Linked DNA regions of Sus scrofa. The protein of the gene in region 2 interacts with the protein of the main gene of each other region in a biochemical or structural test. Links are inferred from orthologs where the notes say so. Each region holds a gene or a part of one and is shown on either strand. Other genes may lie near its edges. The genes, in order: POMC and MC4R.

Evidence for each region.
Region 1: the proteins of MC4R (region 2) and POMC form a complex in vitro, tested with the Homo sapiens proteins (2 studies listed by BioGRID). The link is inferred for Sus scrofa from reciprocal best matches to the Homo sapiens genes MC4R and POMC.

The regions. Positions count from the first base shown.
Region 1 is NC_010445.4:113,654,729-113,671,259, forward strand, and holds POMC (pro-opiomelanocortin), read left to right. Parts: upstream 1-6,983; 5' UTR 6,984-7,042; coding exon 7,043-7,259; intron 7,260-10,676; coding exon 10,677-10,828; intron 10,829-12,991; coding exon 12,992-13,663; 3' UTR 13,664-13,830; downstream 13,831-16,531.
Region 2 is NC_010443.5:160,762,890-160,779,281, reverse strand, and holds MC4R (melanocortin receptor 4), read right to left. Parts: upstream 7,270-16,392; 5' UTR 6,737-7,269; coding exon 5,738-6,736; 3' UTR 5,158-5,737; downstream 1-5,157.

The DNA.
Region 1 (16,531 bases), on a different chromosome or scaffold from region 2:
AGCTGCAAACCTCGCAAGGACACGTGGGCTCCTAATCCTTCCCCCTTCCCTTCCTCCTTCCCTTTCCCCTCCCTTGTTCCCTCTCCCTCCTCCCTCTCTGTGTCCCTCTTTCCTTGGCTCCAGGCTGGGCTCTTTTGGGACCAGCCCTTCCTTAATAAGGATGGGGCTGCCTACAGGGCAGGCCCTGCTCTGCCATCTTCGTCTTCACGTGTAATTACCTCCTTTCATCTCATGGCAGCCGTATGGGCTGCTGCCGTCATTTCCTTCATTTCCCAGATGGGACCACTAGAACAGAGAAGCTGGGAGTTTGCTCAGAGTCACACAGCACGGGAATGAATGAGCAGGGTAGGACTAGGCTGTGTGGCTCCAGATCTGTGCTCTTACCTGTGACACCACGTGGTGCCAGCATGCAGCCAGGACAGCCTCAGACTGGGGTGTGTCCACGACTCCCTCCTGCATGCTGATGCCACTGCTTTAGTATTTCATGAACCTGCCTGTCGCCTCTCCCGCCTCACTGCTCCCACCAGGCCTCTGGCCCCGGAGCAGGGCATTGGGCTTCTGATCTCCCCCTGCTGCCCCCAGGCTCTGAGCATCCCCACTGCCACAGAAATCTGCTCCTATGGCTCCTCTGATTCAGTCCCTAAGTGGTCCCCACCTCCGCTCTTGCCTCTGACTCTAGTCTTCTCTGTCTCCCTCTACCCCTGCACCAGCTTCCCGGGAACGTAAGGTTTTTCCTGCTTGAGTCCTTTGCACGTGCTGTTCCTTCTGCCTGGAATGACTTTCCTCTCTTCATCCTGGTGACCTAACGCAGCATCCCCTTCTCTGGGAAGCCCTTGCTGGCCATCCACCTCCTCTACCTGGCAGAGAAAATCACCTCCAGATGCGTGCTTGGAAGGCCTGAGCCTATGGTGAGAAGTCTAGCTCCCCCAAGGCTGTGGGCTGAAGAGGTCACGGGGCAAGGCTGCACAGAAATAGAAGTACCTGAGGAGCCCCAGCTCTCCCTGCTTCCAGCTGAGTCTTCCAGCCCGGGAACAAGTTATGGGAGTGAGCAGCTTGAGATAATTTGCAGAAGCCAGGCTTTGAGCTGCCTAGGCTGATGCCAGGTAGAGCAGAGGTATGTTGGCCTTACCAAACCTTGCTCATACTGCAGATTCGTGAGCAAAATAAACATCAGTGTTTAGAACAACAAAGTTTTCAAGTTCTTGCTGTGGTGCAGGGGGTTAATCTGATTGCAGCAGCTCAGGTTGCTGCAGAGGTGTGGGTTCAATTCCCAGCCTGGCATCGTGGGTTAAAGGATCCAGTGTCACCTGTTAGTCATGCTTTGGTATCTTTTAATCTGTTTTTTTTTTTTTTTTTTTTTTTTTTTTGCTTTCTAGGCTTGCACCCGTGGCATATGGAGGTTCCCAGGCTAGGGGTTGAATCATAGCTATGGCTGCTGGCCTATGCCACAGCCATAGCAATGTGGGATCCAAGCTGCATCTGTGACCTACACCACAGCTCACAGCAATGCTGGATCCTTAACCCACTGAGCAAGGTCAGGGATCGAACCGGCAACCTCATGGTTACTAGTCAGATTTGTTTCCACTGCACCACAGCGGGAACTCCTCTTTTTTCCTGTTTCTATCTCCATCCATGTTTACAGTCATCCCTCTGTATTCTCAGGAGATGGGTTCCAGGACCCACCAAGGTCACTAAAATCTGCAGATACTCAAGTCCCACAGTCAGCCCACTCTCCCCGCAGCCCCACACCCGTGGTCTCACCGTGGTCATGTAGCACGGTAGTACGAATTCATTGAAAAAAAAATCCAAGTATAAGTGGAGCCATGCAGTTCGAGGTTCAACTCTGTGTCTATATTTTATCGCATTTCCTTCCCTTCATAACATGCAGTGGTCATTTCTCATGTCTGGAAATAAACATCTACATTATTTTGAATGGTTGCAAAGTATTTCGTTGCAGAGTTTTACCATAATTTTGTAAGTATAGTATACGGTTTTAATAATTACACCCTAGATATTTAGTTTATTTCCATTTTATTGCTACTATAAACAATGTTGTATGAATAGTCTTGAACAGCATTTAGGGTAACTATAGATATTTCCTCAGGAAATTCTGGGTTAAAAGGTAAAGGCTTTGGCACAGAGAGATTTCACTCATCTTCCCATGGCTTTTCCTACAAGTCTCCTCTGTCTGTAACCCCTTCTTTCTTGGAAGAGGAAGGCTCTCTATTCTTTGGAAACTAGGTTATTCCTCTGGACCCCATCTCATTTCTACTGAAGTCCTGGATTATTTGGCTTTTCCCACTCTCACTGGCAGCATCAATTTCCACTTCCCATCACCATGCAACTATGCTCTAGTACCTTGCTGCTGTCTTTATCCCCGATCCTATATTGTGCTCCACCTCTGGCCCACATTCTCCATTAGATCTCTATAAAGAGTTGTTTTCTTTTCTTTTTTTTTTTTTTTTTACACCAGGACCGAAGGGAGAAGTAGCTGAATCCACAAAATTAAAGGGGAAATTTAAACGACATAATGTATTAGTAACCAATAGAATAGGATAATGATCAGAAAGGATATAGCTGGGAGTTCCCGTCGTGGCGCAGTGGTTCACGAATCCGATTAGGAACCGTGAGGTTGCGGGTTCGGTCCCTGCCCTTGCTCAGTGGGTTAAGGATCCGGCGTTGCGGTGAGCTGTGGTGTAGGTTGCAGACGCGGCTCGGATCCTGCGTTGCTGTGGCTCTGGCGTAGGCCGATGGCTACAGCTCCAATTCAACCCCTAGCCTGGGAACCTCCATGTGCCGCGGGAGCGGCCCAAGAAATAGCAACAACAACAACAACAAAAAGACAAAAGACAAAAGACCAAAAAAAAAAAAAAAAAAAAAGAAAGAAAGGCTATAGCTATAGAAAGGATATGGAATACTTGAGCAATCATGGAATACATATTCTTGTGATGTTTACATGAAACATTAATCATGTGTTCATCCATTAAGCAACATTCCCCACCCCCAATTTCAAAGGACTAAAATGAAACAAAGTATGTTCTTTGGCTGCAGAGGAATTACGCTAAATTTTAATTTCAAAACAGAACTAGAAAATCCCCAATGGTTGGAAGTTAAACCGAACGCTTCTCTACAACCCACAGGTCAATGAAGACATCTCCATGAAAATAAGATATTTTGAACAAATGGTAATAGAAATAGGACATGTCAAAACTTGTGAGATGCAGAGTTACCACTGTGATGCAATGGGATCAGCAATGTCTCTGCACACCAGGACAGGGTTCGATCCTGGGTCAGGCAGAGTGGGTTAAAGGATCTGGCATTGTTGCAGCTGTGGCATAGGTTACAACTATGGCTCAGAGCTGATCTCTGTCCTGGGTAATTCATATGCTGTCAAACAAAAACAAAAACAAAAATTTGTGAGATGCAACTAGAACCATACTTAGAAAGAAATTTATAGCCATAAATACACATCAAAAAGAATAAAGATTATCAATTGAATATCAGTTATCTAAGTAAAAAGCATTTATTTAAGATTCAACTCAAGAGAACAGGAAAACAAAAGAGCTAATTAGAAATTAGAAGACAAGAAATAATAAGAGTAGAAATTTCAGTGATAGAACAAGATGTACATGCAATGGAGAAAAGTCAACAAAGTCAAAATTTATTCTTTAAAAATACTAATAAATTTGTTAATCCCCTAAGAAAATTAATCAAGAAAAAAGAGAGGGGACATAAACTACCAATATCAGAGATAAAAGAGGACCATAACTACAGATTCCATAGATATTAAGATAAGAAAATATAAGAAACAAAGTTAAGCAAATAAATTTTAAAAATTAAGTGAAATGGACAAATACCTAGAAATACACATCTTTCTAAAACTGACACAAGAAGAAATAGACAATTGGAATAATGCTATTTAAATAATTGAATCTGTATTTTAAAATCATTTAACAAAGACTTAGCATCACTAACAAATCATCTCAAACATTTAAAGAAGAGATTAACACCATTGGACACAAATTCTTCTATTAAATTGTAAAAATTAGGGGTGGGCGGAGGGCTGTCCAACTTGTTTTATGAAAACAGCAAAATTTTGACACCAAAATCTAACAGGAACTCTACAAAAAAGGGAAAATTACAGGCTGGCCTCATAAACATGAATGCAGAAATGTTAAATAAATTATTAGCAAAATGAACCCAATGCTGTAAGCACATCATAATCAAGCTGGGCTCAATCCAGGAATGCATGGTATGTGTAACACCAAAAGTCGACAATGTCATTCACCATGTTACCAGAATAAAGGGGAAAGTCATGTTATCATCTCAATCAGAGGCAGCTACTGCAGGCTTTCGAAGAGGAGGTGGTGATGCCGTGAAATAGTGGTCAGTCCTTTCTAGTGACGTCAGCCAAAGTGGGAATGACAACCTCCCATCCTGGGGATAGAAGTGACACCTATGTCAAATGGCTGTGGTTTTGACAGTGTGACTTTGGCCTCTCGTTCCCAGCAGTGTGATTTCTTTCTCATTGGATCCAATCAGTAGCCATGATTCCAGTCACTTTTCTTCTCTGCCCAATTTTGGATCCTGATCGCCCAGCCTTCCCAGTGATTCTAAATGTGATTCAATGGCCTTTCAGTTCATATCAGCCAAAGGTGGTTCTGCTGCATGTAATTAAGAACTCAACTTAGGGAGTTCCCGTCGTGGCGCAGTGGTTAACGAATCCGACTAGGAACCATGAGGTTGCGGGTTCGGTCCCTGCCCTTGCTCAGTGGGTTAACGATCCGGTGTTGCCGCAAGCTGTGGTGTAGGTTGCAGACGCGGATCCCGCGTTGCTGTGGCTCTGGCGTAGGCCGGTGGCTACAGCTCCGATTCAACCCCTAGCCTGGGAATCTCCATATGCTGTGGGAGCGGCCCAAGAAATAGCAACAACAACAACAGACAAAAGACAAAAAAAAAGACAAAAAAAAAAAAAAGAACTCAACTTAAAGAGGACAGAGGCTGGGTCAGTCTGAACTTTTCCTGGTTTGGCTTTTCTGCTGTCATCAGTTGCTTTTTAAAGTTATAAAAATAGGCGTTCTCTTGTGGCACAGTGGGTTAACGATCCAGCATTGTCATTGCAGTGGCTTGGGTCATGGTTGTGGCATGGGTTCAACCCCTGGCCCAGGAACTTATGCAGGCCACAGGTGTGGTGAAAAACAAACAATAAACAAAAAGTTATAAAAATAACACAGAGAAAAGTGAGATAAAATCGAAATCCGATAGAGAGGGCTCCTAAGACTGGTAGTGGAAGGGGCAGGAGGGGGTGGAAGAGGGAAGACAGAAGACAGAGTGGAATTTGTTCCAGCTGTGAGGGTTATATGACCAGATGAGATGGGAATGGGGTTCTCCGGGAAACAGAGACGGCCATGTCTCATGCCCTGGTAGGACAAGTGACCAAGGAGGGCATCAGGGAACAGGTGGTGGATGAGCTAAATCTTTTTTTTTTTTTTTTTTTTTTTTTTTTAGGGTCGCACCGGCCGCATATGGAAGTTCCCATACTAGGGGAAGCATCAGAGCTACAGCTGCTGACCTATGCCACAGCAACTCAGGATCCAAGCTGCATCTTCGACCTACACCACAGCTCATAGCAATGCCTGATCCTTAACCCCCTGAGCGAAGCCAGGGATCGAACCCTCATCCTCATGAGTACTCGTTGGATCATTTCTGCTGCATCATGCCGGGAACTCCAGATGAGCTAAACCTTAATGCAAAAGTCTAATTTTCCCAGGTGGCTGGAAGGAGGAAAGGTGTTTTAGTGGAGGGACCAGTGTGGCCAAATAGACGGAGGTGCGAGAAAATAGTGTTCAGGGGGATGTAAACGCTGTGGTCGGTCGACGTGCCAGGATACAAGAAGGGGTGGCAGCTCTTTGGGAAGAGGCCAAGGCCAGGTAGCAAAGTACCTTATTTACTGTTAAGGAGCTCAAATCTCTCCTGTGCCTCAAAAGGAAAGGGTTGCTGATTATAAAGCCACTGTCACCAACCAGAACTTCTCAAGGGGGTCTTGGCAGCCAAAAGAGCATCTGATTGGGAATAAAGGAAGTTCCTGCAAAGGACATATTAAACAAGCATCTTGATATGAAGTCCAGTTTCGTTCCCAAACTCCCTCCCACCCCTACCCCTCATCCCTCACAATTTGCTTTGGCTTCTTTTCTCCAGGCTGAGACTCTTCCATTGAGTGTTGGAGAGCATTCTTTTCACCCTGGCCTGACAATTGGGGCTGGAGCCAAGCTAGAATGCCAAGACCAGATCTGGGGAAGACGGAGAGTCCTCAGACCACTCTGCCAGCTCTTTGGCACAGGAAGGGATCAGAGGCCAAAGGGAAGGTACTTCAGCTGCTTTTCACAGAGAATTCCCTCCTTCCCCCATGCTAGGGTTAGCCGTATTTCTTCCTTAGGGTTTAGGGCACAGGAAGGAGCCTGCCTGGACTTGGCCCTTGCAGAGGAGGCCCCAGCCGGGCAGTGCAACTGGCTTTCACACCCCAAGAAGGCAACCTGACCTGGCTTCAGGTGAGCAACTCCCGACCTTCTCCAGGAGCCAGGGTTGCGGGGTGGGGTTGGGGGGGGGCTCAATCTGTAACAGAGGGATTATGACATTTTCCTGACATTTTCACATCACAGGTTCCTAACGTTGGGGGGAAATCTGAGGCATTGCAGGTGTTCTTTCTTAGTTCTTGATTTACCACCAAATGAGAAGGAGGTAGATGCCAGCTCAAGCACGTTGTGGACACAGGTAACTTCAGCCTCTCTTCAACGACCTCAGCAAGCTCCCTAGGCCTGCCCCACACTGGGGTGCTAAGCCTCCCATTTGTCCTACCTGGAGACCCAAACCATCCTTAATTAAGTTCTTTCCTGAAGGCTGCCAGGTGTGCCCTTCAGCAGAACAGTGTTAATTCCAGCCTCCGGGAGCAGAGATCCAGCCCCCTTTCCGGGCACTTCTGCTCTGGCGCTTAGCCCCTACCTGGAACCCCCCCTCCTGCGTCCCACGGCCCCCCTTCCTATGGATGGGGGAGTTGCCTGTTACGCGGCCGCTGCCGGGAAGTTCAATCACTTCCAGCGCCCACCTGGTGGAGCCCCGCAAGTATATAAGGACCGAGCAGAGACAGCGGGACAAGGCAGCGAGAGGGAAGAGAAAGAGGGGAAGAAGAGTGACCAAGAGACCGCCGAGTTTCCTGCCTCGGCGCAGCGGGAGTCGCCCCGAGAGCAGCCTCCCCGCGACAGGTAAGGGCGCAGCGGCGCGGCATCTGCTCCTCTCCCCGGACCCTCTACCCTGGCCCTCCGGATGCTTTCGCCCAGCTTCGATCTCAGACTAGAGGCGCCTTTGGCTCGCCGCGATCCTGAGTTCTTTGAAAAGTTTCTGTCCTGGGTGCGGTGTGGGAAGCTGCTGGCAGCGGAGATGCGAGAGCCAGCTTCTGGACGGTGGGAGAGCAGCTGCAAGGCTGACAGTGGTGCCTTCCAGGAGCCGGGGCTGCGTCTCCTCCCGGGAGGGGAGCTGCTTGGACCCTTGAGATTCCTACTGCATTCTGAGGAGATCTTGGGAGACCTAGTCTTTCAGGTCTTCTTCTGGGTAGATGTCACTGAAAATATATCCTATCCTCTAGAGTAAATTAACATTGGCGATGGGGGCAGAAGAGACTAGACTAAAAGTCACAATAGACTCCTTGCAGTCCAGACTTTTTGGATTCAGATCTCTGAATCCTCCTTTCCCTGCCTACTTTAGTGCACCTGAGATGGCTGCGCTATGATACTGACAAGGTCTCTACAAGACCAGTTGGTGTTAAAAAGAGGTGGCGAAGATGGGAACTGTCCACGGTCCTGAACCACCCCATCTCTGCCCGCAATAGGACTGCAGAGTGGACCTTCTACCCCGCAGATCTCAGATTGCAGGGCAGAAGTGGCAATAGGAACAGAAGGAGGCTCAGGCCAGGTGGGTTCCCAGCGAGGGAGAAAGAGTCTGCAGGGTATCTGGATCCCCCAAATTCTTCGTGTATAAACAGGGAGATGGTGATTCTCACAGAATAACTGGAAGGAGCCAAGGGAAACGAATGTGTGCATTTGTTTGGTCCATTGTTAAGATACAGACAGATTGTAGCCTGTTTAATGACTTAATGTTCCTTTGACATTTTGTTTTAGGGCTTGATGCATGTGTATCGTGGTACAAGGACAAAACTCTACACCTCGGCTCCTCTAATCTTTTTTTTTTTTTCCTTTTAAATCGGAGTATAGTTGCTTTACGGTGTTGTGTTAGTTTCAGGTGTAGGGAAAAGTGATTCAGTTATACACATACATATATTCATTCTTTTTCAGATTCTTTCCTTACATAGTTTATTACAGAATATCGAATAGAGTTCTCTGTGTAGATCATTTGTTTGCGCTTCTTAATCTCTATAGAAGGGCATGGGCCATGTGCAATTTTAGAGTAACAAACAAAAGGTTTTTGGCTCAGAGAGAATTCATCAACACATACAAAGTTCTTATAAGTATAGTTCTATTTTAAAGTTAATGTTAAGATGAGCAAAATACAAATTTCTAGTTATTTTTCCAAGCTTTCAATTATTGGATGCTACCTATCTACAAAAGTAATTTGCCATCTCCACACTAATTTATTGCTTTAAAAAAATGACACAAGGTCATATTTGGTTATTGTAGAAAAAATAGAAAATGCACATAAGCAGAAAGAATACAAAATGCTTTCAGGAAGCTATCTAACTTTTTAGAAGGAGGCTGCAGGATCCTCTACCTCTCAGGGGAGTAGTGAGAATGTCATAGCCAGCGGGGCTCTGGGGCTTTTTGGGAAGGCCTGAAATCACGAGGTAGCTTTCTTAGAAAATGGAAATCATTCCAGAATGGCCAGTGCTCTGAGAAATGAAATATAGTTGAGGGGACTGTCCAACCTGTATGATTTTCCTACTTTCTCTACCAATACATTATTTTGCACTTGCCCATAGTGATATATAAAACAACCATTTATCTGCTTTGCTTGTAAATCTGAGTATTTTTTACTGACTGAAATGTGCTGCGTGTTCTCAGAGCTTTAATCCAAATTGCTTTGTCCACAAAGTTCAGTACTCGAACTGGGGCACCAAAAATCTGCAACAGGAGCAGACTGTCCCTGGTCACAACTGGACACCAAGGTTGACCAATGTTCTCCCAGTTGCCCATCAGCCTGAGATGCTAAGGGACTGGCTCACTGGCTGCCAGCACCATCTAATGGCTGCTCCGAAAACACTCAGGCAGCACTTGGCAACCATTCAGAAGGGAGCCCTTCAGGCTCAGCGTTTGGGGAAAGGAGTGGGGTGGGACAGAGAGAAGGGAGTGGCTTCCAGAAATAGGCAATGAGAGCCAGGGAGAACTTTCACTTCCAAAGCCACCCCTGTAAAAAATATTTGGCCCATGCCTCCCCAAAGATGAGATTTCTTTAGGCAGCTATTATGAATCAGGAGGGACAATACATCATCCATAACTGACTGTGAATCACTTTTCTTATCTAATTAGTTTCTTCCTAACAGCTGGTGGAAAAATCTTCTGAAATCCAAAATGATTTTGGGGTTGTTCTAAGATAACAACAGAACTCCAGGTCATTTCAGAGGGGTGAACTTTGTGAGGTGGGACATGTCAGTGTGAGAGCTAGAAGGCTAGGGAAAGCGTTGGGCACAGGGGCAAAGGGAAGCATCAATTCTCCCCTCTTCATTGCATCCTGACCTCTTGAGTTCAGCCTCTGCCCAGAGGTACTTCCTGACTCCTCTGAGAAATTGTCTTTGTAGGGGTTACAGTGGAAGGTAGTTCCCTTCTGCTCTGAGCCGCCATCATGTTCCCTTTCACATCTACAGCATCTTCAAGTCCACCGTTTCAGACTACATTTGAGAGACTCCGAGAACAAGAGGAGGTGTGACATGTAATATGTTCAAGAGATGAGCTGATTTTAAAAGAAGGGGGTCTCTTTTAAAAAGAAATCTCTTCAAGGATACAGGGTCTGAGAAATAGTGATCTCCTGAGTGATCGGTGTCTAGGACATTCAATTGGATTGGCTTGGGTTTTGGCTACATTGGCCAGAGGCTTTGCTCTTTTGCAAACTTCCTATTCATGGGAAATGGGGTTTCTGAGCAATGATAGAATCCTGGCAGAGGAGGAGTAGACCATTTTGAGCAGGAGTTTCAGAATTCTTTGTCTTTCCCAAATTAATCTTTGGACCTGGAGCGACAGAACTCTAGCTTCCAGAAGATGGTGAAATAGAAAAGCTTGGTGCTGGAAACAGAACCTTAGCCTTGCCTCATCATGAACCCCCAAGTCATACATTGTCTCTCTCTGGACCTCAGTTTCCTCATCTCTCAAATAAGAGGCCAGGCCAAATAACCCCGAAAATAGCTTCCAGCCCTAATAGCCTTTGGAGTCTGATTTTCAATAGGAGGTAAAGGGGAAATTTTGCCTAGTTCACCCAGGTCCCACTGTTCTCATCTCTGCCACAACTCACACGACCACCCTGCACACCAACCTGCTCCTTGGGCAGCTCCTGTCCTCAAAAACCCTTGAGCTCCAGAGGTAGTGTATTGTTAATGTTGGCTCGCAGTCCTTCCTGATCAGTGGCCAACATTGTTCTGCTCCTTGCAGGGGTCCCACTAATCTTGTTTGCCTCTGCAGAGCCTCAGCCTGCCTGGAAGATGCCGAGATTGTGCAGCAGTCGCTCGGGGGCCCTGCTGCTGGCCTTGCTGCTTCAGGCCTCCATGGAAGTGCGTGGCTGGTGCCTGGAAAGCAGCCAGTGTCAGGACCTCTCCACGGAAAGTAACTTGCTGGTATGTGGGCCATGGCTGCCATCTTGGTTTGGGTATCAGATGGGACTGGGACTGGGGCTGGGGCTGGGACAGCACAAAGAAAGGTGAATGGGGAGTTCCCGTCATGGTGCAGTGGAAACGAATTTGACTAGGAACCATGAGATTTCAGGTCCAATCCCTGGCCTCACTCAGTGGGTTAAGGATCCGGCGTTGCCGTGAGCTGTGGTGTAGGTCGAAGATGTGGCTTGGATCCCTGCGTTGTGGTGGTTGTGGCACAGGCTGGCAGCTATAGCTCCAATTTGATCCCTAGCCTGGGACCCTCCATATGCCTCGGGTGTGGCCCTAAAAAGACAAAAAAAGAAAGAGAAAGGTGAATGGGGAAGGGAGATAGGTCTAGTCCCCAATTTCTGCTTATCTTTACTTCCTGCCCTCTCTTCTTATGGAGACCCACTTCATTTAAGCTACGTAGAGATAGTGCCATTAAAATAAATAATACTAACAACAATAATTGCTCCTCAACTGATTCTACATTTTCAATATTTTAACCCCCCAAATTATCCCTTTTTAATAACCTCCTATCACTTGCCATTTTCATTCCATTTTTCATCCTTCTTTATCTACTATCAGTTACAAAGCCGGCTACGTAGTACAACAAACCATCTCTAGAAGGAGAAGAAAAGGCCTGGGTGCCATTTTCTTCTAACTGGAGCCAAATGTCCCATGCTTCTGATGGAGGGCTGACCTCCTCAGCCTTTTCAGAAGCATATAGAGGCCCTTTATGCCAGCCTGGAACTCCCTCCAGGTCACCACAGTGTATGTGTGTGTTTGTATTGGAAGGCATAAATGAGAAATAATACCAAGTCAAGGCTAAAAGATATGCTGTGTTTGTGACCAAGTTCTCACCTGCCTGGTGAGCATGGGATGCTCATCACAACATTCTGTGTATTTTGTCAGTAGAGAAGCTGAGTTTAAGTGAAGAGAGAGACTTTTCAAAAACAGAGCAGGTTGCGTATGGAGTATAAAATAGAAACAAAGAGCCCAGAGAGTTTTGTGAGCTCTAGTTCAGAGAGACCCAAGAGACTCTTGATTGGAGACACCCATTGCACAGCCTCTCCTGTTGAGGGCTCACCAGGGAAGGAGCACTGGCCATGGTCAGAGTCCATGGGTTCTAGTCCCACTTCTGCCACCAATGGGCTATGGAACCTTGCCAAGTTCCTTTCTCCTCTCTGAGCCTCCTGTTTCCTTATGTGTCCAGGGGAGAGACGTATAGATAATTTTTGTTTTCCACTGTTAATATTCTGCAGTGTTACAATTCTCAAACCCTTGACTATGAAATTCCCAGCTCAACACTGGGTGGGATCCTTCTGTTTCCTCCCTAGTTGTCCTGAGTAACTGAAAAGGCTATAGCCTAGAGGTCGTTTTCCTGAGCAAAGATGTACCAGAGTTGAGATGTCTACTAACAGGGAGCAGAGACACAGGCTCCACGACCTCTGCACTGGAAATTATCCTGACTTCCCACCTTTTCCTCCAGTCAGAAGGAGGTGACAGGGAAGGGAGCCACCTCCTCCCAAAGGTCACTGGTTGGGCAAAGTACAGAATTAGCTCAGAAAACTTGAAAGAACCAGAGAAAGTGCCAGACAGGTGCGGGCAGGTTTGGAGGGAGATGGCTCAGGTAGGGCACGAGGTAGGTTTGCAGACCCCCCGGGGTAACTTTGAGGCGTTACTGAAAATACAGCCCTAGAAGCCAGACTTCTGCTTCTCCCACCAGGGATGATTCTCCCCTGAATTTCAACCCAATGGCCTTCCCAGACTCGAATGAATCATGTTTATTTATTCAGTATCCACTAAGTGCCAACAACTACCACCCACCTGCCATTTATTAATGAATTCCTAGATATCTGATATATAATGTTTAAGACGCTGATCCTGCCCATAAAAGCTACAGGAAAAGTAAAACACCGAGCGGGCCGGGGATTTTGTCGGAGCTGCCAGGCAGAGGTACCGGCGTCCAGGGACAAAAGAGGCTGTGCTCAAGTCGAGACTCAGACGTCTGTGGGTGCCCAGAGGCGGGGGCAGGCAGACGTCCTGGGGCTGGGAGCCGATCTCGCACCCGCGCGTGCTGAAGGGACGGAAGGAGAGGGCAGTGGGGCGCCGGGTCCTGATTTGCCCACCGCTCTCCCGCAGGCGTGCATCCGGGCCTGCAAACCAGATCTCTCTGCGGAGACGCCCGTGTTTCCCGGCAACGGCGACGCGCAACCGCTGACCGAGAACCCCCGGAAGTACGTCATGGGCCACTTCCGCTGGGACCGCTTCGGCCGCCGGAATGGCAGCAGCAGCGGCGGCGGTGGCGGTGGCGGCGGCGCGGGCCAGAAGCGCGAGGAGGAGGAGGTGGCGGCGGGCGAAGGCCCCGGGCCCCGCGGAGATGGCGTCGCGCCGGGCCCGCGCCAGGACAAGCGCTCCTACTCCATGGAGCACTTCCGCTGGGGCAAGCCCGTGGGCAAGAAGCGGCGCCCGGTGAAGGTGTATCCCAACGGCGCCGAGGACGAGTTGGCCGAGGCCTTCCCCCTCGAGTTCAGGAGGGAGCTGGCCGGGGCGCCCCCCGAGCCGGCACGGGACCCCGAGGCCCCGGCCGAGGGCGCGGCCGCCCGGGCCGAGCTGGAGTACGGGCTGGTGGCCGAGGCCGAGGCGGCCGAGAAGAAGGACGAAGGGCCCTATAAGATGGAGCACTTCCGCTGGGGCAGCCCGCCCAAGGACAAGCGCTACGGCGGCTTCATGACCTCCGAGAAGAGCCAGACGCCCCTGGTCACGCTGTTCAAAAACGCCATCGTCAAGAACGCCCACAAGAAGGGCCAGTGAGGGTCAGGGGGCAGGCGCCTCTCACCCCGGAAGCCGACCCCAAAGCCCCCTCTCCTTGCCTGCCCTCCTGCCGCCTCCAGCCCGGGTACGCTCAGGCTGTGTGGGCGCCAGATATCCCGCCTCTTACCTGTAGTTAGGAAATAAAACCTTTCAAGTTTCACATCCGACTCTGACTTTGAGTATTGACTGGGTGAATAAAATACAAGTACATATCCATCAAATAAAGAGCTGCACGTATTGAAGGAGAGAGTGGTTTCCATGGGACCGGGTAGTAGTGGTATGTTTCATAGGACACAGTGGGAATGAAAAGAAAAGGTTCTTCCCTCCCTGCCCCAGTAAAAGTGTCTTTGAGGGTCAAAGAGTTTGGCTGATGCTCTGGGTGGCGGCATTTCCCGCTCTCCATTGGCTGGGAAAAGACTGCTTAGCTAGCTGTACCCAAAGGCAGGGTTTCTCCAAGCGACTCTGGCTTCCATCCACCTCCCAGAGCCACCATGAGGCTGATGATGCCCAACGGAACCTGGGAGGGCTCTCTGAGCTCTGAGATGGGAAGCTGTCCTAATGCCTCCCTGGATCTAGTTATTGTGGGACCTTAGCTAAATCTCTGAACTTCTCCAAGATTTGGTTCTCTCAGCTATTCTTCCTTCCTACCATGAGGGCTATTGTAAGGATGAATGAGAAATGGATAAGATCTTTTTTTTTCCCTCTTTGTCTTTTTATGGCCATGCCTATGGCACATGGAAGTTCCCAGGCTAGGGGTCTAACCAGAGCTGCAGTTGCTAGCCTACGCCACAGCCGCCACACCACCAGATCTGAGCTGCATCTGTGAACTACGCCGCACCTTGGGGCAACGCCAGATCCTTAACCCACTGAGTGAGGCCAGGGATCGAACCCACATACTCACGGACATGGTTCTTAACCTGCTGAGCCACAGCAGGAACTCCAGGATCATCTTATCACTGAGGCTAAGTGTGAGAGCTGAGGGTTGGTATCAGTTTAGATGTGACTGCCCTCCCAGGCTACTCACAGACACTCTCAAACACAGGGTCTAACCCGCATAGACACCCACCTGTGGAGACACATCTGTATAAATACAACACAATGTGTATGGATGTTTCCTCTAGTCCCTAGGGCTCAAGACCTAGAGCTCTATCTTCCCCCCCTTGTCATGGCCAAGCTCTTTCCTCCTCAGGTTGCGCTGTCACTGTCTTCATTCTCCCTGCTGCCCACTCCGGCCTCGACTATCCTAACAGCTCCTAACCAACTGGTCTCCCTGTCTCCAGCTGCCCTCCACCCCAGCCCATCACACAAGATCTTTATTCTAATGTATACAGAAGCTTGCTTTCTCCCCATTCCTTGGCTCAAGACACAAGAAAATTGCCCACCCCCACTTTTCCACCAATTCCAAACTACTGGGCATGGCACACACAAGGGACCTTGTCTGTCAGGTTCACTCTCTTTACCAAACCCCGCTTCCCTGGTCTTCTCGCTCTTCCTCTCCCAGCAGCTTCCACCCTCTGCCTGGAATTCCTGGCCTTCCCCCTCTCCATTTTGAACCTTGCTCTTTTTTTCAAGAGCCCAGGCTCAAGTCCACTTCCACTGGGAAGTTTGGGACCTCATGAGCCAAGCCCGCTCATTTTCAGGGTTTCTGCAGTCAATCCCTCTGCACCAGAGGGCATGTATGTCTTCATGGTACAGCAGGTTAAGGATCCAGCATTGTCACTGCAGGGGCTTAAGTCACTGCTTTGGTGAGAGTTCGGTCCCTGGCCTGGGAACTTCCATAAGCCACGGCCATAGACCAAAAAAATAAAAATAAATAAGACAGACCTTTTCTTTTTCTTTTTGTTTCTTGAGGGCTGCACCCATGATATGGAGGTTCCCAGGCTAGGGGTCCAATCGGAGCTGTAGCTGCCAGCCTACACCACAGCCAGAGCAACACGGGATCCAAGCTGCGTCTGTGACCTACACCACAGCTCACAGCAAAGCCAGATCCTTAACCCACTGAGCGAGGCCAGGGATCGAACCCGCATCCTCATGCCTCATGAATACTGGTCAGGTTCATCAACCAAGGAGCCACGATGGGAACCCCGAAAGCCAGACTTTTAAGATAGAAAATTGTGTCCAATGCGGGTTGTATGAAATGGGGCTAGAGTCTAGTCCCTACAGTGAAGAAATGACACAGGCCCTCCCATCTGAGGGCGCTCCCAGGGTCTCTCATCCGCCTTCCTTTTGAGGCGAGTAAAGGAACGGTAGGTGGGGGTGGCTAAGTGTCAGTGGTTAATGCCGGGGGGGGGGGGGGGTATCGCGGATCCTGTTTGCCTCTCAAAAAACCATTTACTTTAAAGAAATCAAATAGATAACTGTGTGGTGACAACATTAACATTTATTTGAAAAGGGCATTGTGACCGCTCCTGGGGAAATCACTACTAACAGTCCTAAAGAAGAATCTTGCTAAGAATCCTTCTCCCCACGCTTTCCCCCACACCCCCCTTTCCCTTTCTTTGAAATTAAACTGATTTGGTTCAATGAGTTCCAAATACAGAAAACTGCCACAGGCACTACTTCTGCACTCACAAATAAATACGTCAGCTTATATATACATACATTGTCAACTATGCACTACATTGTACACACATGCACACCCACGGGGATACACGCGCTCAGCCAGGTCGTGAAGGTCTCAGTGGACACAGACGTGTTACAATGTACGTGTAATGCTGCAGCATTGGTGGATCGACAGCTCTGCACCCACAGGCCAGAATCCACAGCCACAGAGGAAGAGCTCGGAAGGGCAAGGTGAGGGGCTGGGACCCCAAGGTCCTTTGAAGGAGAAAAGACCCGGGCAACCTGGCCGGTGCTAAAGGAGAGCAC
Region 2 (16,392 bases):
TATTTTGGAGTGTTCAAAATTTCTTGGCGTTCCCCTTGTGACTCAGCAAGCTAAGGACCAGACATTGTCTTTGTGAGCATGCGGGCCTCCCTCAGTAGGTTAAGGATTAGGCATTGCCACAAGCTGCAGTGTTGTTTGCAGATGCAACTTGGATCTGGTGTTGCTGTGGCATAGACTGCAGCTGCAGCTCCAATTAGACCCCTAGCCTGGGAACTTCTGTATGCCACAGGTACAGCTGTAAAAAGAAAAAATTCTTTACACTTAAAATAATAAACATAGTAGTAAAAACAGATTGAAATGGATTCCTGTCTCTCCATGCTAGGGAAGTGAGGGTAGCCAAGAGAGTATCACCATGTAACTTCTTCTAGGGTCTATGCTCCGATAACCTTTTGAGCACAATTTGACAGATCATTAAAGTCATAGATATCTATAGTGACAAGCATTATATATAGGACTAGATCCTTTCAATCTACTAGGAATTTTATATTATCTAAACTTTATCATTCAATATATGATTAGATTGTGAATATCTTTATTTCAAAGATTAGATTATAGGTGCTTGGGAAATTTGCCCAAAGTTCTAGAGCTGGTAAATCTGAGATTTTTTTTTCTTTTTTCTTTTGCTTTTTAGAGCTGCACATGTGGCATATGAAAGTTCCCAGGCTAGGGTTGAATTGGAGCTGCAGCCACTGGAGTATACCACAGCCACAGAAATGGCAGGATCCAAGCTGCATCAGTGACCTACACCACAGCTCATGCTGGATCCTTAACCCACTCAGTGAGGCCAGGGATGGAACCCACATCCTCATGGATACTAGTTGGGTTTGTTACTGCTGAGCCCCAATGCAAACTCCCCGAAATTTGAACTCAATATTCCCCTGGTCCAAACTCCAAACCCTTTAATCAAGCACATAGGGCTTTGATCAATACATGATGAACTAATAGGTGAGCATCAAGATGTGACTATAAATCATTTATGGTTCTTTTTCAAGGGCTTACCTTTTTTTTTTTTTTTCTGTGCCCATGGCATGTGGAAGTTCCCAGGATGTAGACTGAACCAAGTCCACAGCAGTGACCCAAACAGTGATAATGATAGAAACTTAATCAGCTGTGCCATGAAAGAACTCCTCAAGAATTTACCTTTAATATCAGCAACATCAACTTAAATAACATTATTGTTGTACCACCACAAATTGATGGCATAAAGTTTAATGAGTATCAATCTTTGAAGAAGTGAGTGGATTTTTTATGTTTGCATGTTATCTAAGTAGGCTTTTCCAGTATTGAATGTGGCATTGAAAATTTTAAAACAATTAGCACAATTGGTGATAAAAAGTTACCCTCTTAGAATAAAGGTATCCTGGAGTTCCCATCGTGGCGCAGTGGAAATGAATCCAACTAGGAATCATGAGATTGCAGGTTCGATCCCTGGCCTCTCTCAGTGAGTTAAGGATCTGGCGTTGCCTCGAGATGTGGTGTAGGTCGCAGACGCATCTTGGATTCCGTGTTGCTATGGCTGTGGCATAGCTGGCAGCCATAGCTCCAATTGGACCCCTAGCTTGAGAACCTCCATATGCCATGGCGTGTAGTCCTAAAAGAAAAAAAAATATAATACAGGTATGCCTGTGGATCTACTCTGTTTAAATATATCCATTTATACAAAAACTTCTGTCAAAGTCAAGGAAACTATTAAATGTAGTTTAAGAAACAATACACAACTAAACCCTATATATATTTATTAATAATGTTGAGTAACAGCAAAATTAGTCTTCATTCATGCATGGTTTTATTCATTTAATTTTATTCTTATAAATACCAATAGTTATTATTGAGCACCTATGTGGATTGGGCACTGTTTTGTTGAACTTTCATCTTTGATATTATCATCGTCTTTTGTCCCTTGAAGATTAACATCAGGCAGAGATTGTCATGCATATTTAACAATAAGAAAACTAACTTCAACAAAATCTCACAGATAAAATTGGTGTACCCATAACTCAGTCATAGGTCTATATGACTGAGAAAACCATGCTTGTTTATGGAAGAAGGCTAATAAAATTTGGTACAGGGAAACCTTAATGGGAGTCAAGAACTGGGGTTTCAGGTTTTGATGCTGCCACTGATTTCACACGTGACATTAGACAGTATCTCTGAGTGTTGGATGAGATGATACCTAAGATCTGCTCTTGTTTGAAACTAACTCTTGCTCCACAAATCATTGGTAATTTGGCAATTACATTTCCATCAGCCATCTTCTATTGTAATGCTTGTGTGTGCTTTTTAAAAAATGAAAAAAAAAGAAACCTTAAACATGTTCATTGCAGTAAATTTATATAATAGAAACACACTCAATAGGGAAAGTAGACATGCCCCTTAATATTATTACCCAGAAATGATGACTACTGATTTTTTGTGAATTATTCAAAGTGAAATGTAGGAGAAATATAAGTAGGTTAGGGGTACTTTCTTTAGATAGTTGGTAACATATTAAATATTCTTGTTTTTATATTCCTTATAATATAAGCCAGAAGTTGATACTTATTTACATGTTATCAAGTAATTATTTAGAAGTGTTTTAGTAATTTCAAAATATTTAGTTTGGGCAATAGAAACTTTTTTTTCTTTTTAGGGCCACACATGTGGCAAATGGAAGTTCCCAGACTAGGAGGTGAATCAGAGCTGCAGCTGCTGGCCTACACCACAGTTCACAGCAATGCTGGATCCTTAACTCACTGAGTGAGGCCAGGAATTGAACCTCTATCCTCATGGATAGTAGTCAGGTTTGTTAACCACTAAGCCACAGTAGGAACTCCCAACAGAGATTTTTTTGAAGCAGGTGGAGACTCTCTGGAGTTTGGGACTTATAGAGTCTAAGTGTCATGCTAGCTGCTGAGTGGGCAGAAATGCAAAATGCAAACCTTGTTCATATGAGTTATGGTGATTGCTGTACAACTAAGTCAACAGTAAGTCTTGAAAATCACTCATTTCACCAGTGAAAAGCCATTTCTGATATACTTTAATTGGACTTTCTGGTGAAAATTTCAATAAAGTTATCTGATGCTTCTTACCAGATACTTTTGAAATACATAGACCAGACCAGCATAATGTATATGCTAACTAACCAATATTAAAGAATAGACACATGTGTCGCAGTACTTATACTGAAGTTTTTAAAAGCTGCCCTGCTCCTTGATATAAATTAAAAACTTATGTCCACACACAAATGTTTATTCATAATTTTTTATTCATAATTGCCAAACTTTGGAAGCAACCAGGATATTCTCCAGTAGCTACATAGATAAATACACTGTTACATCCATACAATGAAATATTATTCAGGACTAAAAAGAAATGAGCTACCAAGCCATAAAAAATGTGAAGGAAACTTACACGCATATTACCAGGTGAAAGAGGCCAATCTGAGAAGGTTATATACTATATGATTCCAAGTATAGGACATTCTGGAAAAGGCAAAACTATGGAGGCAATAAAAGGTTACTAGTTGCCAGGGGTTAGGAAAGAAAGAGGGATGAATAAGTGGAGCAGAGAGGATTTTTAAAGCAGTGAAACCCTTCTGTATGGTGCTGTAATACATGACATTCTACGTTTGCTAAAATGCATAGAATGTGCAACAACCTAGGCATGAAGTCTAATGTAGACTGTGTACTTTGGGTGATGATGATGGCAGAATCTTGGTTTTACCAGAGAAAGAGGAAGTAACATAATAGAAGATTGTTTGGAGAACAGGAAAAAATGCGTAAGATATGGTTTTAGCCCTTAAAGAAACTGAAGCCTTATACTGTGCCCTGGGCAGATAGGGGAGGGTGGCAGGGAACTCAGGTTCATGACTAACACTCATCCCATCTCTGTGAACTGCTCTTGGAGGAGTTGTGAAAGTCAAGGTGAGGGAGGCTGATTTCCTTTCTGTGGGAGAACTGGGCTGGTTCTAAGCAGCATCTGAAATGACCCTGGATGGAGAAATAGAATGGACTGGAAAGGGTGACCCCACGGAAAATGCTCATCTTCTCTTCTGTATCCCCAGTCGCCGGGATTCCTCAAGTTACTACATAAAAGAATGGAAAGGAATAGTAACAAAGACAAAAACACTTTTTACGTCCTGCTACAACTTTGGGTTCTGTTATTTTAGTCTTTATTTAAATCCTCACACTTAGTGTAAAATAGAGGAATTGCGGTAATCAAGCTTCAGTACGACCTTTCTTGTGTAAACTTTAACTTCACCATTACATTTTCAAGTAATCTTCCCACATAAATGCTGAAAGTGTTACTCTCGACTGGCTGTCAATATATGTAAAGCATTTAGATTTGAATTAAGAAATACCTTTGCACTTTATCTCAGACCATGAGGATTTGAGGACACTATAAATTAAATCAAAGGATGGTTTACTGGTAATCCTCAGCCTAATATATTTTCTCTCTTAAAGTACATGCAAGTTGAAAAGTACAGGTTGTATTGCTCAGTAGCCAATTTGGAGCAAAACAAATGTTTACTCACTAAAGTATGCTTGTGGAAGGCTAATTTGTGTCATGTCGTCCTCTGGGGTTTGGGCAATACCTTTCTTCCTGCTTGTCATGTACCAGCATCAGAAGTTCCCTTATTTTACATATCTTACAAATATTGCCTGAAAATACCTGTGCGATAGATTTAATTTTAAAAGCTAAAATCCTTGATAATGAGTATTTCAACTTCTGTTCAGAAAATAAGCAATAAGACTATAGCAAGTCACTTCCATGTGAAAAGTGAAAGAATTCAATACTGATTTTGTAGGTTGTTTTTAGAAAGTAGGAGCCAGTGAATATATGTATAACTGATTGACTTTGTTATATGTCTGAAATTAATACAACTTTGTAAGTCAAATATATTCCAATAAAATTTTAAAAAATAAAGAGAAAGACTCCAGTGTAGCACCACCTTTTCTGGACATTTTAGCAGACTCTGGGTCCCTGGTTAAAGGGGCAGAAAGACCTTTGTTTTTATTAGGGGGTGGTTAGAATAGTTTGATATGAGTTTAGCTTGCCATGCTCTTAGGTTTCCCAGAACACTTCAGTACCCATAGCTGCTATTTTTCTCTCCCAAACAGTTGCCTGTGTGGAATATCAGACAGTTTGCTTGGGCAAACTAATATCTCTGTCTTTGAGAAACATAGTTTTCAAACTCAAAATATCCCCCCACTTTTTTTTAGTAACTGTTTTTCTCCCAGTAGAAGCTTCATTTCTCCTTCTGCACAGGGAGAATGAGCATGTTTTATTAAATTAGTTGAAATTTCAGCTTATTTTTTAATGATTAAACACTTGTTTCAGTATTTCTCCCCTCAATGCTAGAATCAAACCTCTACACTTCAGCGTTGTATAGTGTAATATTAGCAACCATTTATTAGGATATATTTAATGAAACTGTGATTTCCATTTTACTAAAACAAGCAATGTGTCAAATCCTTTCGAATGACAAGATACATTAATTAACTTTTCATAAGGACTTTTTTCTTTTTTATAAATCCATTGTGCCTATAACCTGTAGTATAGATAAACATTTTACAGCCAAAAGGTAGCAAGACCTTAAAAATACACAGAGACTGAGCAGAATCACGAACTTAAATTTATACAATAGAATGTCTCAACTGATGCCTTACAAGAAAATGCTGTTGTTGAAGCATATTGTCCAGACTGTGTAAGGAGAAAGTCTCTTATGCTTGCATTTATAAGTCTCCTCTGTCCCCATTTAATATCTGCTAGACAAATCACAGAGGCCACCCAGGGGATAGCAACAGATGATCTCTTTGAAGGTTTTCCTCAGTTCTTGGCTCCGGAGTGCATAAATCAGGGGATCGATGATGGAATTACACATGATCAGGATGAGATACAAATTAAAGTGAGACATGAAGCACACACAGTATGGATTCTGGGGGCAGGAGATATAGAATATTAAGTGGAGGAAGAAGGGGGCCCAGCAGACCACAAAGACCCCAATCAAGATGGTCAGGGTAATTGCCCCCTTCATGTTGGCACCTTGGCGGATGGTGCCAGTGCCTGGGAGGACGGCGATCCTCTTAATGTGGAGTCTGGCCATGAGGAACATGTGGACATAGAGAGAAGCCATGAGAGCCAGCATGGTGAAGAACACGGTTATGAGGCAGATAATAACAGCACTGCTATCTGAGTAAATGATGAACAAAACACCCGACACCGTGCAGACTGCCCAGATACAACTGATGATGATTCCAACCCGCTTAACTGTCATAATGTTATGGTACTGGAGAGCATAAAAGATAGTAAAATACCTGTCCACTGCAATCGAAAGCAGGCTGCAAATTGAGGCGAGTAAGGAGCTACAGATCACTGAGTCAATGACATTATCAATATTCACTGTGAAACTCTGTGCGTCCGTGTCCGTGCTGTTTAATAGGGTGATGACAATGGTTTCTGACCCATTGGAAACGCTCACCAGCATATCAGCCACAGCCAGGCTACAGATGAAAAAGTACATGGGTGAATGCAGATTCTTGTTCTTGGCTATGGCCACAATCACCAGAATGTTCTCCAACAGGCTTATGACACCCAGAGTCACAAACACCTCAGGAGAGACAAAAAGTTGCTCGTAGCATCCTCCTTCAGAGTAGCCTTTTCCAAGGGGCTCACTGGCATTGCTGTGCAGTCCGTAGGTGCTGCGGTTCCAGAAGTGGAGAGAAGTATGCATTCCATGGTGATGGGTTGAGTTCATCCTGCGCCAGGTGGGTTGAGATCCCCTCTGACCTGATTTAAGCTCCTGGGTCAGGTAGCCTCAGCGATTTTCTCCAAGTCTTTATCTGTCTGAAAGTTATGAGGCTGAAATTGGAATGCCTGTTGTGAATAAATATCACATGCTCCGAAGCTTGAAATGGAGTTTTTAGTCTCTTTCAGGTAGGGCTCTGATTAGCATCACTTTGAAATCTTAGGCTTCAAGACGCTCATTCTCTGTCGAGTCTGCTGTTTGATATTTTGTTCTCACTTCCACTTTAACTTTAGTCTTAATGCATTCAGGTCTTTTCAAAATAATTTTCCTAGCGGCTGCTGTGCTATTGGGAGAAGAATGAATCTGTGTGCGCATGCTCAGATCAGCTGCCTCGCAGAGAGAATCAGTTCCCAACCTGAAGCTTTGCTGTGAGTGTTAGTTGCCTCTGTGATTTTTATGGTGTGTGAAGGGGAAAAAAAAATGTGCACAGTGGCTCCTCCTCTGCTTCTTTCTGACCAATCCAAGTCCTGGGGAGTCTGTGAGACACCGATTATGTTCCAGAGATACAAACTGCTGGGCAGCGCTGATTCAGATGCAGAAGCGTGTAGAATCAGGAGGCACAAGCAGGCTGTGATACACTGAATTTCCCTTTTCAAGTTTTCAAGGAAAACAGCTTGGTTTCTAGAGGACATTCTTTTATATCACAACAAGCCCTTTTTTGAGGCACCCAGGTTTATTACTACTTAAAAGGAGATGTGTGTGTGTGTCCTGAAATAGATACACACTGCCTTTTTGGCCAGGCTATTGAATTATTTACCCCTCAGTTTCTTTGAATTTAGAGCAAAGGAAGTCATGCTCCCATTTAAAGTAGTTGAAATATGGGGAGAATATTTAATAATACAAGAGACTATGTTATAGATGGAAGACTAAGTAGGTAGCTATAGTTTATCAGAGGGCTCAAGAAGGAGTTTGTTTCTTATGCACTAATACCTGCTATTTCTGCATTGCAGAATCTCTTTTACTGTAACTGGAAAAAATTTTATTTTCATTTACAATATTTGGAAACTATTTAGAATTTGGGATTCCTACTCTGGCAGTGGGTTAAGGAGCCATTGTGACCTTCGCCACAGCTGCAGCTTGGATTCAGTCCCTGGCTGGTGAATTTCCATATGCCATCTATGTGTACAAAACAAAACAAAAAAAAACTATTTAGAATTAATGTAAACTGTGTTTACTCTGAACTCAGAAAAGGATCAATAACTAGGCGATACTCAGATTTTTTTTTAAGCATTAAAGAATAATTGAATAAGGAAGCATTTAAGGATAATTGGGTATACAAAAAATGGCCATATGTAAGACATACATTTTAATGATTCTGAACACATGCATATATTCATAATGCATCACAATCAAGGTACTAAGCATATTTATTCATCACCTCCAAAAATTTCCCTGTATTTTTGTGGGGTTTTGTGTGTGTGTGTGTGTGTGTGTGTGTGTGTGTGTGTGTGTGTGAGATAGAATAACACTTAACTTGAGATCGGTGTTTCCACAACATATTTTAAAGTGCCCAATACTGTATTATTAATAATAGGCATTTGTACAGCAGATCTATAGAACTTACTCATCTTGCATAACTGAAACTTCATACTCATTGGGCAACAATTCCTTGACGGTAGTCTTGACAATGATTTCCTGGAATTAGCACCAAAATTACAAGCAACAAAACCAAAATATAGACAAGTGGGATTACATCAAACAAAAAAGCTTCTGAACAGCAAACAGGCAACAGAATGAAAAGGTGATCTACAGAATGGGAGAAAATTCTTGTAAACCGTCTATCTGGTAAGTGGTTAATATGCACAATATGCAACCAAATAATAAAAAACTAAATAATTCAATTTAAAAATAGGCAAATGGCTTGAGTAGACATTTCTTCAAAGAAGACATACAAATGGCCCCACCAGATGTGTGAAAAGGTGCTCCACACACTAATCAACAGGGGAAGAAAAGATCAAAACCACAATGAGATATCAACCCACCCCTGTTTGGATAACTATTATCAAAAAAAAAAAAAAAAAAAAGATAAGTGTTTGCTAGGATGTGGAGATTTTGGAATTCTTTTTTGTTTTTTTTTTTTTAAATGTAACCTATCTACTTCATTAGTTGAAGGTTTTCTAGATTAAATTCACACATACCTTGGCAACTGTACTTATTAAGATGAGAGGATTCTAGTTATATATCAGAGTTTCCGAATGTTTTGCTAAAGCTAAGTTTGAAAGATTATGAAAATATACTTTTTTTTTTCTTTTTATGACTGCACTTGCAGCATATGGAACTTCCCAGGCCTGGGGTTGAATCAGAGCTGCTGTGTTAATGCCAGATCCATAACCCACTGAGATGGGCCAGGGATTGAACCCAAAACACCCATATCCTCACAGACAACATCAGGTCCTTAACCCCCCAAACCACAATGGGAGCTCTGATAGTTTTCAAGTTGACTAAACTCCAGGTTATGAAATTTTATGTAGTTTTTTTTCCTCTTCTGTGACTATTTTTGGTTTTTTAGCTCCGTTGTCATTTGTGGCTACTGATAAAAGGAAAAATAAGAAAGAATTATTTCAAAATTAATTTTAATTACCCAATTATTTAAGTAAGGGCTTTATCTTCTTTCCCTTTTGTGACAGAAGCAATATTAAGTATTATTCCTGAGTATTGAGTTAAATTAATGTCTTCCATCTCTCCCTGGAATTGGCTGGCACTAAATTCTAGTTAATGGAATGTGGGTAGAGGTGAGACTATTGTTCTCCCCTTCATGAGGTTCCCCAAGTTTTTCCTCCAGTCTCTTGGCAGATGACTGTAGAATGCCTTTGAAACTTCATGTTGTAGACGTCAGAACTATGTCATGGAAAGAGCCTGAGCCTCTGAATAACTACGCAAAGCACATACCCCAGCTTATCAAGGACATTGAACTGTGATCCAGGCAAGCAATAAATATTGCTGCATTAAGCTGCTGAAATATTGGTGTTTACCTGTCATAGCAGCTAACATTAATTACCTTAACTTTGAAATGTTTTAAGGGAGCTTTTTATAAGCAGCAAACTCAAATTACATGAAAATCCTATCTTTCCCCCATTTTGGGTTTGTGTGAGGGGTGAAATACCTAGTAAGTACATAGTAGGGAAGAAATTTGTTGAATTAAGTCAACTCTGTATGACTTCCTCCTCGAGTCCAGCTTTTACTTTGTGCTCTGTACTTCTCTTGGTGCCATAATTGTTCCATTTTCTTTTCTTCTTCTTTTTTTTTTTAAATCTTTTGTCTTTTGAGGGCCGTACCCGCAGCATATGGAGGTTCCCAGGCTAGGGGTCTAATTGGAGCTGTACCTGCCAGCCTATGCCACAGCCACAGCAATTCCAGATCCGAGCCGTGTCTGTGACCTACCCTGCAGCTCATGGCAGTGCCGAATCCTTAACCCACTGAGTGAGGCCAGGGATTGAACCCATAACCTCATGGTTCCTAGTCGGATTCGTTTCCGCTGTGCCAGGTTGGGAACTCCTTGTTCCATTTTCTTAGGCTTAAAATTTAGAGTATCTTTGCCTTGTCCATCTTTCTCAAAAATTCCTACATGAAGTCACTTGTGAAATACCTTTGATTCTACCAGTGGGTCTGACTCCTCTTTTTCTTCTTAGCAAACTCTCTCCTTACTATTCTCCATCATGGAAACTTCCTTGCAATCAAACTTGCATGCATGATTGCATGCACACTAGACATTTTCTTATGAGTTTATTCCCTCTGCTCAGAATACTCTTTCCCTATATTTGTGAAAGCATAATCATCGTTATGTGGAAAATATTATAGTTCATATAATTATGTAATAGATAAAATTAGTATTTGAAAACAAAATTCTTTTCTTTTGGCTTTTCACCAAAAAAAAAAAAATAAGGTATTTCATTTACAGATAGTATGATCATAGTTAAATCATAGAAAACCATATACATTTAAAATGTAAAGTTTAATTATTTGCTATAGATTTATACCTTGATTAATATGGTTAATCATGCTGAAAAGACAACATTTTGTCATCTCCAAGGAGGAATTTTAATTGTCTGGCATAGGTTAGTTCTATAGGAGCCAGAAGAAATACAATCAGCAGTGCCAGACAAATTAATGGTATTTTTAAAAATTTATTGCAGATTTCTTTTTTCTAAGTACACACAAAACTGAGTTAGATCAGAATATATTTTTCTTATGAGAATAATCCTTATTTTACATTTTATAATAATAAATATGAACTATTGTTCAAGAGGAGTATTTATCAAACTATACTACACAGAATATTGTTTTTAGGAGATGTAAATGTTATTCCCACCACAGAATAAAAGGTCAAAGAATTCTGGAAAACATTGCAAACTCATTGCCTTCCTAGAGTTTCAGAGTTTACATTAGCATGTAAAGTTTCTGAAATTTCTTACTAGAAAAAAATTTCGATATTACTTAATACACTTATTTTCTACACATAGAACCTGTTTTATCTCACTTATTTTTCAAGTACTTATTACACTCAATTCTGCTGTAACAATCGTTTTGAAAATGCAAATTTGTTCCTAACTTGATTGAGATATCAGAAAACATTTTGAGCACAATGCAAATATTGTGTTTGTTGTTATATAGTTTTGTACTGGATAAACACTATGTGAATGTGGAAACCTATACCCAGCTGATCCAAGATACAAGACACACACATTGAACATTTACCAGCTACCTCAGTCCATGGCATGTGTTATGATGCACAGCAATTTGGTGTTATAACATCTTGTGAGATTTTAGGCACGCTTTCCTTTATCATTTTATAATGACTCACAGCTATAACTCTGCTAAAACTCACTTTCTTAAGCAAACTGCATGCAAGTCTTTTTCTAGGTACAGTGCCATATTTGTTGTAGGTTATGGTTTTCTTTTTTTCTGGTTTATGTATTTTTAACTATTAAACATGTGTAATTGTATCCTATTGTGGTGTTTTTTTTTTTTTTTTTTTTTTTTTTTTTTTGTCTAAAAAGGGCCATGCCCAAGGCATATGGAGGCTCCCAGTCTAGGGGTCAAATTGGAGCTGTAGCTGCTAGCCACAGCCACAGCCACAGCCACAGCCACAGCAACGCCAGATCCAAGCTGCATCTGTGACCTACACCACAGCTCACAGCAACACCGGACCCTTGACCCACTGAGCAAGGCCAGGGATTGAACCTGTGTATTCATGGTTACTAGTCAGATTTGTTTCTGCTGAGCCATGAGAGGAAGTCCTTTCCTATTGTTTTCATTAGGTTCCTTTCCTTTTTTAATGTCACTGATGAAGTTCATGAGTGTTTTTTGTGTAACCCCTCTAAACCCTAGTTCTTGGGTTGCATGATTTCATGTAGATGCTGATTTTTCGGACTATAAAATGTCACATTACAGAAGAACTAAAGGTAATATGATTTGGAACATATAGTTTGGGAAACATTCATGTAGTAAATTATTCTGACTACAAAATTCTTACTAATTTAAAAGTGTTCCATGATTATTGTGTGCAACATGAAATAGAATCCTTATTTATAAAAATGTATCTCGTGTCTAATTCTTGTAGATTATTAGTGATTATGTAATCATGTGTTAATGTAAGCATTTTATTGTCTGTCATAAAATAAAAATGATTTTTCATTTTAGATTAGGATATTTATCATATATTTTATTATTTTTATTGAAGTGTAGTTGATTTATACCATTGTGTTAGTTTCAGATGTATAGCAAATTAATTTAGTTATATGTTTATATATATTTTTTCAGATTCTTTTCCATTATAGGTTATTACAAGGTCTTGAATATAGTTTCCTGTGCTATACAGTAGATCCCTGTTTACTTATTTTATACATAATAGTGTGTATCTGTTAATTCCCAATTCCTAATTTATTTGTCCACTTCCTTCCCCTTAGGTAACCATAAATTTGCTTTCTAAATCTGTGAGTCTATTTCTGTTTTATAAATAGGTTCATTCGTGTCAGTTTTTAGATTCAATATTTAAGTGATATTATATGATATCTATCTTTTTCTCTCTGATTTACTTCACTTAGTATGATAATCTCTAGATCCATCCATGTTGCTGCAAATGACATTCTTTCATTCCTTCTAACGGCCAAGTAATATTCGTTATGATATATTTTAAAAGTTCTCTAAATAATGTTGCGAGGACTATAAACATTTTTAGATTGAAATCTGTGTTCATAATTATTTTTAATAGAAAACATGTTCTCTATTGCATTAATTTTGGTATAGCATTCATTTGTTTTCAAATTTTTCAAAATTAGGTAACACTAAGCATAATAACTTTCATTAAAATACTTTGAATCCTAATAAAGTATTATTAAAATATTATCTTTATAAAATTTATACTGTGAAATAGGAATTTATTTCAAAATATTATAATTTTTTTCTTTAAAAAAATCATTCTCATTTGGCTTATAATAATAGCCTGTATATGATTTTGATGGCTTTATCTTAAATCCCTTCCTGGTTACTTAATTTTCCTTTCTTATTTTAATCCTTCTATTAACTAGTATTTTACTGAGCACCTACTCTACTTCAGGAATAGAAGCAAATAAGTCGTGCTCTGCCATTGAGGAACTTCAGTGTAGATATAATCTAAATGAGGGGACTAAACTGCAAGATAATAATTCCTACACTTTGTCATCAGTGATGTAATAATAGCAATTAGTAGAAATAATCTCTGCTTGGGTTGGCCTTAACTTGTTTACTGGACAGTTTTGTTGAGAAGGGAATTGGAAGAAGATAGGATATAGCTGGATGAGAGCAGTGAGGAGGGCTAGATTTTAAGGTAGATGGAATAACTTCTGCAAAATCAGATTGTATTAAATGATATTTCAAATTTGAGGAATGACAAATACTTTGGCATGGCTGGAGCCCACAAGGGTGAGGCATAGAGAAGTCTGGAGATAGTAGGAAGGGGCAGGTCATCTTGGGCTTTCCATGTCAAGCTGAGGATCAGAACTTCACTTCCTTGGACTCTGTTAAGGACATTTAAAAACTTTGAATGAGGCCCACATTACCTGCAGGATAAAGAGCTTCAAGACTCTTTAAAGGGATAACATGATAAGATTTAGGAAAACACAGCATGGAATTATACAGGGTAAAGGTAAGAATTTACGATACTATTAGATAATTACTAAGATACTATTACAGCAGCCCAAAGAAGAGTATGTGAAGACCAGAGGTAAACCAATAGTTGTTCTGCTATGGATAAGACTACCAATCAGTCATGAATGGAATGAGGAAAAGAAAGGAATTCTCAATGCCCTCCATTTTTTTGCCTGGGTGAATGTGTGGATATTGGTGCCATTAATCTGGTAGGCACGTTGACTGGCTCTCTCAGTCTCCATTTCAACTTCCTTCAGTTTGGAGCTCAGAAAGCTAAAATCTACCTTGCCCAGATTCCCTTGCTGTCTGAATTCTGTCTGTGAGTTATATTTTCCCAATTAAATATATTCTCAAGAGATTTGGAAAACATAAATGAGACAGAAGCCCTTCTCCTGGAGCCCCAGCAGCTGGCTAGCAGGATCTGCCAGATGTCAACTTTGGCACAAGGTGACTCCTTCAGGTCACCCTCTTTGTGAATCAGGAATCTCAAGTCCAGCAGTATCTCCTGATCTGTGGATTGCAGCTCAAGTGGTATAAAATTTGAATGAAATGAAATAATTGACGGTTTATAAGTATTTCAAAATTTTGTAAGCACCTATTTCCCATATCAAGTCCCCTTCAACTAGATGTACTGAGAGTATGTCTGTTTTCTGTACTAAATTATGATTGTTACACTGATTAAGGAACCTTTTAAGAGACAAGATACATTTAGTTTTTAAAATCTTGAAATTGAAGTGTTTTTGAGACATGTAAATGGAAATATCTATTTAGCAAAGATGAGTAGAGAGCCAAAAAGAACAATCTGGTATAATGACACATATTTTGGTTGTAGTGGATATAGGCTGTATTGAAAACTGTAGGCTTCTAGTAGACTGGGAGAAAGTGGGAATTATGAACAGAATCATAAGGAACATGTTTACTTAATAGAAAATGTAAAAATAAAAATAGGTAAAGGAGACTATTAGTCTGGGTGTTCTGGAAAGAAGATAGGATTGAATGCGTTTGATTTTACTGAGGAAAAGACTGGGGGTAAAAATGGAGAGAGAGCCTAGAACAGCTGAAAAAAACAGACAAATCACAAAAAGAGCCTGATCTTGAGAGAGGAGAGAGGGAAGAAAGGCTGTGTGGAAGCATCCTAGACCTGCCATGAAGTCTGAGGAAGGTTGGCAAGAGTATTGGGTAACCCTCAAGCTAGACCTACCTTTCAGAAGTGTCCCATGACTCCCAGTGATGGGCCTGATTCAGCATCCCTGCTGTGTATAGGGAGTGGCTGGGAGCACCTGTGGGAAGCTTGATCTTAGAGCAAGTGTGACAACAGATTTCAGAGAACAGTAGCTGGGGCCCTGAGTCGGTTAAGCTCCCCGTATTTAGAGGTCTGCTGGGCTATTTTCACCACTCACATGGAGTCTGAGAAGTGGTCAAGTGGCTGAAAGAGAACCAAGAAACAGTCAATGGACAACCAAGGCATAAAGAGTACAAAGGAAATAGAATGGGCAGTAGGTGCCAACCCAGCAGACCTGTTGAGTGAAACCAGAATCTTTTTTTTTTTTTCTGAAATCTCTGTCATCACATTTTGACAAAAAAAAATGAAAACATATAGTTCTTATCAGATCAGTAAATTCTCAGTAACCCTAAAAACACTTTAAAATAATATACTGCTAATGAGGTCTATTATAATAACTTTATTTTATGTGTATGGGTAAACATTTTTAATTACATGTCAATTTCCTCTCTCTAAAGTTATAATGGTAATAATAATAACTTCAAAGCTTACAGTATTTACATATGAAGCATTTTGACTAGTGCCTTGCATGAAGTAAAGGCTATGTAGGCATTAGGTGTATTTATTTTATATTTTCTGAACCTAAGATGTTTATGTTTCTATAGTCTTTTAGGGAATTGCATACTACTCAGAATCCATTTTTTTTTTTGCCACGCTGTGATCATGGGAGCAGTTTTCAAAGACACTTTGGTTATGAAATTTGATTTCTTATTTTTGTAGGCACTGAAAACAATTCCTCTTGGCATGCAAACACTCTGTGATACTTCATGTATCATTAAACTCCTGTTTTCAGCACAGCAATAGTCCAGAATAGTACTAGTTAGTCATTTCGTGCTTAGTAACATGTAGCTTACAGTTCTATACCCAAAAGTGCTTGTTTGCTTATGTATAAATGGAGAGCTGGAGGTTTGCAGCATGGTATTTATCAAAACTGATAGATGAATTCTCCTGTGCAAGGAACCTGATGTGGTTCTGTCCCAGTAAGACATTTAGGAAAATGTAGTTTTTGATTTTTAATGGATTTTACTTAAATTTGGCATGTGGGAGAAGAAGAGGAGGGTATTTAAAGCCTTTTTTTGCATTGGCTGGGAGATAATGCCTTACTTAACTAATACATATTCTAAAAATTTAATATTTATTTATAGTTAGAGTTTTCTATGTGTCATGGACATAGTCTCAGACAATTTCTTATAAATTT